Drosophila melanogaster: one gene and its partner. The protein of the gene in region 2 interacts with the protein of the main gene of each other region in a pairwise test. Each region holds a gene or a part of one and is shown on either strand. Other genes may lie near its edges.

What was found.
Region 1: the proteins of CG42500 (region 2) and CG7368 interact in a two-hybrid assay, tested with the Drosophila melanogaster proteins (one large-scale study listed by BioGRID).

Annotation. Positions count from the first base shown.
Region 1 is NT_037436.4:11,595,106-11,598,865, forward strand, and holds the start of CG7368 (uncharacterized protein), read left to right. Parts: upstream 1-2,096; 5' UTR 2,097-2,354; intron 2,355-2,906; exon of another isoform or gene 2,907-3,716; intron 3,717-3,760.
Region 2 is NT_033777.3:14,151,673-14,154,772, reverse strand, and holds CG42500 (uncharacterized protein), read left to right. Parts: upstream 1-2,122; 5' UTR 2,123-2,220; coding exon 2,221-2,451; 3' UTR 2,452-2,562; downstream 2,563-3,100. Other genes in the region: CG31533 (uncharacterized protein), read left to right, coding at 1-16; CG44215 (uncharacterized protein), read left to right, coding at 341-457; Recs1, read left to right, coding at 1,014-1,808; CG14355 (uncharacterized protein), read left to right, coding at 2,974-3,100.

The DNA of each region.
Region 1 (3,760 bases), on a different chromosome or scaffold from region 2:
ATATGTACTTGGGTCATTTGGATAGTGGCCAGCATGCAAGCCAACCATCTGTGCAACACCGAAAATTGTGGGTGTTTTTTTTACGCGTGGCACACACAGTTGCCCAATGGCGGGGCATGCAGCAAGTGGCAGAGGACCACCGGTCGTATGAGTTCTCCTCAGAAGGCCTCCTCCAGCCAATCTGCCAACTATACCACCCAACTCCAACTCTAAACTACCAACTCCGCACACTCGGCCGACTGCCGACCGGTTTTGTTTAGAATTTTAGATTTTAGCGCGTTTTAGAATTTTATGAATGAATTTTTGGCGCTCGGCAGTGCTCCGCCTGCCTGCCGGGTAATGCTCCCCTTTTTTTCCATACCACCAGAAATGGTTGGACCACTCCGAATCGTTTGGCTCGATTCACTTTTAGTTTTTGGCTAGTTTTCGGTTCCCCATTTGTTTTTTGGGGGTGTCGATGTGACCTTGCCGGGGTGTTCCGGTGTTGTTTAGATTTAGTTTCTATTGGGCTACACTTCTGCTGGTCCGTTTTTGCAGTTGGCACAAATTGTGCATACAGAAGTTTAAGGGCCTTAGACAAAAGTCGGTCCTGTGCCCGTTTTTTTTTTTACATAAGAATATTGATTTTATAGTAAATGTACAGATTGCGGCACTTTAAAAGGGCAATGAATTGAATATAAGTAATAGCTGTTAAATATACGATTTGTATAATTGCATTGAAAACAAAGCATATTTTTGGCTTCAATTATGAATTCTTCTCAAATATTAAAAGTGAATTATTTTTAAAATACTGCTTATTGCAGTAATAAAGTTCAAACCACCAAATGCAAACCAAATAGTCATCCTCCTTTTTCGACACAAAATTCATTTGAATGACTCATTGTTTATTTCAACAATTAATAAATAATATTATTATTATTATTGTTCGCTGTAGACAAAAGAAAGATTCGACCTAAGCTTCTGTGGCTTTCGTCTATAATATTTCAATATTCATATATCTACTCGTACATCTGTAGGAATATAGAATAATAAATAAATATAAACAATAATTCATTTTCTTTACATAAAAATGATTTCTTCGTGGTCATTTTAAGATATGGCATTGTATAAACATGGGAAGGAAGAATGTGCACTCATCGTTGAGCTCCTTGAGAAAAATAAATCAATTTCAGAATTTAATTGCTTGTATGCAGATAGGTAAAGAAATTCATGTATACATATATCATCCTTACTAAAGTTTAACACATACCATACCCATCAAAAAAACGAATCAAACGCAGTGATTTGAAGACCGCCCTTAAAGCTAAACAAAGAGTGCTTTTTGTGCACATTCATATATGTAAATCACATAAACACATAAGAGCACTTATGTAAATTCTTATGTACTGCAGTATTTTAGTAGGTTTTGTTAGATTTGATGCAGGCAAAAATGCCTATTAAAAATGCGTTTGAAAAAAACTGTTGCATACCTGAAGGCGAGCGCTCAAATTAACTAACGGGACACTGAAAGTTGCAATGAGAGAATATGCACTAAAGAGAGAAAGAGAGAGACACGAATTCCAGAGAGCACAGCATCCTAGTGTGAGAGAGAAACCCGAAAGGTGCCGAAGTTAACCAAAGTGAGATGAGTAGTGACGAAAGGGAGGATACAAGGGGATTTCAGCACTAGATGTAAGGTTATAAAAAAGGGGGGCGGTGTTGAGGGGAGCCTTCGGCACTAAGCCGGCGAGAGAACAAATACAAAAGCGAAAGCGAGTAGCCGGCATAGGTGCCCGTGTATGTGTTCGAGAGAGGGAGGAGTGTTATTCCTGCGTATGTGTGTGTGTGTGTGTGTATGTGCACATACATATATTCGCACTGATGTGTGTGTCGCCGTTGTCGGCAATTTAAAGAGTAAATAATTGTCTGCCGCCGGCAAACATTTGACCAAACTGCTAGTCCACCGAATGTGCCACGGTATTGGTATGGCTTGCTACTTTCGGCATATGTATTGGTGCCGAGTATCGGCTCTTCGTCACCAAACTCTACACAATTTTAGGCGCCGGACGAACGCACTTTCAATCAGTTAACTTTATAACGTCAGCGCCGACACTACGTTATCCGGTCCAATCGCATCAAATCGAAACAAATTGAATCAAATCCGGCATTAAATTTTGCACTTGTATTCGTTGCCGCGCTGCGATTTACGTCGCGTTGTTACTTTCACGCGACCAATTCGACGCTCAACGTCAACAAAATCGCGTGAAATCGTGTGTCTGCCTAGTGTTTTGCAACCTGTATTTAGCATGTTCCTAACGTGCTTTTCAGCCAAAGAGCCGGCAAATGTGAATAAAGCGATGAGCAACTGAAAAACTGTGAGTACATAGCACTTTTCGTACATGCAAATCACTTAAGGGAAATTAATCCAGCAAATGGTCATTTTGTGAAGCACACAAATGTAAGTGCCAAAGTTTAGTTTATTAAATGACTCGTGGCGATTCCTTATTGGTGTACACTGTGCAAAAAACTATTGGGAGCGAAACTATTAAAACAAGAAGTTCAGTAGTGTGTCTAATGTGTCCATCAGATACTCTATACACATTTAAGAATTATAATCTTAACCTTTCTGCTTAGACAACAATTATTAACAATAAAACTTTTTGATGACTGATTAATTTCTGTAAGCATCTCCAAATATTAAAAAAAAAAATCCTAAAATGTTTTTAAAAAAATAAAAACATCAATTTTCGACTGAATCAAAGTGTAAAAAAAGGATTAAGGAATTTAAAATTTTTTATTTTAAAATTTAATGAAAAGGATTACTTTAAAGTTTCTCTTGTCAAAATACATTTTTTCCCCAAAAACACACACCCATTTTGTTAGATATATTCCACTCTCGAAAGTCTGACGAACTTCTTAAATCAGGAAATGCACTTTCGTCAGAATGCCGGCTACTTAATGCGCACACAATCGGGCAATAAATCAGCATTTAATGTGCCTGCATTGAAATGCGGAGTCAGCCGACATAACGTCATCGACATCATATGACCGCGTTTCCGAATTTCCCCGAATCTTGTGTACGTGCATTGTGTGTCGGCCCCGGCCCCGAAATACGAAATACGGAATACGGAATACGGAATGGAATACAGAATGCACGGCGCAGCACAGACGACGGGTCATGGCCACGGCCACGGCCACGAATATGGCATTTCGGCGACTCCGGTTGCGGATACAACAACGGCTCCGGCTGCAAACTCCCGGCTCTGCCGTGCGTCGCAGTTTCACTTTCACGGCGCAAACACAGCTGCGAGGGTGGCGGAGATCTGGGCCGTGGGAGTTACGGGTGTTTTGGCGGGCGCGACTTGCACTCAGCCTCACAGTTTGTCTTTCCGAAATCGGCGGGTGCACAGCCACGGACACGGACACGGATACGGATGCGAATACGAATACGGACACGGTTACGGCCCACTCGAACTGCCAATGACAATGCCGCACAGTGGGAAGAAACATATTTTTATTGGACTAAGCTAAAGTCTTTACTATTCAGCAATTATCTTGCTAGTTATAGACGATATTTTAACGGAGACCCATCACATTACGTATGCGCAATATTATCAAGTATACGCCGCGCTAAGTACTAAAATGGCATACGAATATATTTTTCCCCTTCAACATTTGATAGAATTTAAAAGAAACGTTATTCACCCATAACATTTATCAACATTTTATGGTTCACCAGCTTAAGAATAAACGCGCTGCGTATGCGCAATAATATCAAGTA
Region 2 (3,100 bases):
AAAATCAAGGAAATAATTGTATTCTTTTATTAAAAGTCAAAATGTAATAAGCGTGTTTTATTTCTCTTAAGCTACAATGGCAGCCGTTTGGAATTATAGGAATTAGTATAATAGTATTATAAATAATTTTATTTTATATTAGGGAGCACATTTTTTGTGATTGTTAATGACGCAATCCAACTTGTTTTCAAAGTATTGCTAAAATTCTATTAATACGAGCATAAGAATTTGATTAAATATGCTAATTATATAGAAATTATAAACTGGTCTCAATCGACTGCAAACGGTAGTATAAAAGCGCCATGCCAACTGTTAGACTGTATTCATTAAAGTTACCAAAATGAAGATCTTCGCTCTGTGCGCCTTTTTGCTCCTCATCCTGGCTGCCGTCCAGGCCAATAGTTCTCCTGAGACCAGTGCGATCTCTGAAGGGAACCTTAAGAAAACTGCTGGATAATTTATAATTTCACGAAAGCTACTTGAATATTGGAATAAATATTCTATTTAGCAGCAGAATTTGTTGTATTTATTTGTATGCCCTTGCAGAGGGTATAATGATTTCAGACAGAAGTTTGCAACGCACTAAGGGGTACATTTGCAACCATTTAAAATATGTATAAATAATAAGTATTAACAGCAGAGTGTATATAGCCATATAGTCATTTAGTTATCCGTAAGTCCGTTTTTGCTCAAATTAGTCACATATTTAAATCTTTACATAAAATTGTTGTTTGAATTTAATAAATACGCATTACTGCAAATGTATATAAGACGGAAGACAGTATTGGATATATATTATTATAATATTATAATATTGTGAATTTTCGAATTCTAAAGAAATGAAGTTAAAGTTATGTTTATGATAGTTACTAATTATGAAAAGAAGATTTATAGTTTCTAAGAAGTAAATTCCATTTAACGTTGACTCTTCTGTCATACTATACTTCAATTTCCGACAAAGGTTATTAAATTAAGAATTAGCAGTTACTTGAAAGTTGTGTTCGAAGGACACAATGCTGGATATTTTACAAGAACCAGTACATCAGTATGGAAATCGGAGCCACCAGGCGGAGTGTATTCCGCTGGGAAGATATACAGCTTACGGATCGGAAATCGGACAGGATGATCCAGACAAGGGCTTGGGATTCTGCAGCGCCAGCATCCGGCGAGGATTCATCCGGAAGGTGTACCTCATCCTGTTGGCCCAACTGATCACTTCCCTGGTGGTTATAGTTTCACTTACTGCTGATAAACGGGTGCGTCTGATGGTGGCAGAAAGCACCTGGATATTTGTGGTGGCCATACTAATAGTGGTCTTCTCTCTGGTGGCTCTGGGCTGCAATGAGGATCTGCGTCGTCAGACCCCAGCTAACTTCATCTTCCTATCTGCCTTCACGATAGCCGAGTCCTTTCTGCTGGGCGTGGCAGCCTGTCGTTATGCCCCAATGGAGATTTTCATGGCCGTGCTAATCACGGCGTCAGTTTGCCTTGGACTCACCCTTTTTGCTCTGCAGACGCGTTACGACTTTACCGTCATGGGTGGCCTCCTGGTGAGCTGCCTGATAATACTGCTCTTCTTTGGAATTGTGACCATCTTCGTGGGCGGACATATGGTCACCACCATATATGCCTCATTGAGCGCTCTGCTCTTCTCCGTTTATTTAGTTTACGATACACAATTGATGATGGGAGGCAAGCATAGGTACTCCATTAGTCCCGAGGAGTACATATTCGCTGCCCTAAATATTTACATGGATGTAATGAACATATTCCTGGACATTTTGCAATTAATCGGAGGATCCGATTAGTTGCATGAAATCTCACAAACACACAGATTATTTTACATCTGCAATTCGACGTCGAGTATTAATAAATCAAATTCAGCAGCAAGCCTATTTTACATTTACTTAAAAGCCTAAATATAGGCTTTAAAAATTTGGATATTTTTTATACAAAGCACAGTTGCCATAAATAATATAATTAAACTTGTTTGCACAAACAAATGCAGAAATAACAAGAATGACCGGTATTCAATGATCGCACCTGTTCATAATCGCTAATTAACGGGCAACCTATATATTGAAATACATTTCGTATAATTTAGTGTTTTGTGACCCAAAAAATAACGAAAAATTATAAAAAAAAAGATAACTGTAAACGGTTACGATATTAGGTATATAAGATCTTCCAGCACCTCAAAGTGTATCAAATTTTGAAACGATGAAGTTCTTTGCTCTGTGTGCCTTCCTCCTCATTGCCCTGGCTACCGTCCAGGCAACTCCCGGTGATCTGCGCCATGTTCCTGTAGGACACGGAGGACACCCAGTCAATGCTGGCCACGGACCTGTGGGACACGCTGGTCCTGTTGGACACGGTCCAGTTGTAGGCCATGGTCCAGTTGTAGGCCATGGTCCAGTTGTGGGACATGGTGTTCATGGTCATTCTGGCTGAAAACTTATCTGAATCCTACAAGGAGCGCAATGCAGACCTTGATGGAAAGAAACGAAGTGTTTGTTCAACACCTTCAGTACAGCATATCCTAATAAAATATTCGATTTATCGAAAACATATTGTGATTTTAAGATTTGGGGAAACAACAGAAAACCAGTTCAGCATTTAGAGGGCTTGCCGCAGATTTTGCATTGAGAACGTTGTTCAGAAAGATAAGCAAATGGAATCGAATAACTGGAAGTACTCATTATGAATTCCAAAAGTAAACGAAACATGCCTTGATCTCTGTCATAAGTGTTTGGTAGTCATTTTGCATTTGAAACTGGTCAGAGTTGGGCTTGTTTTTATATTCAGAACACTGTCTACCTCAGTTTTATTGTAAAGTTTAGTGTAGTAAGTCGTAAGATACTATTTCAAAAATCTAAAGTAAAAAAAAATCATTATAATTGGAACATTAATGACTCAGACTAGTTCCTCCATAAAAGAAAGCCCAGACAGACAGTAGAAATTTAAGATATCGAGATGGGACCCAAAAAGAAGTCCGTTGCTGTAGCTATTGCAGAAACTAAACCAGAAGACCAACCACCACCTGAAAAGGTGAAGCCAAAGAAAGAGCCCATCCCCGTTTTCGTATTCGATGTTATAGTCA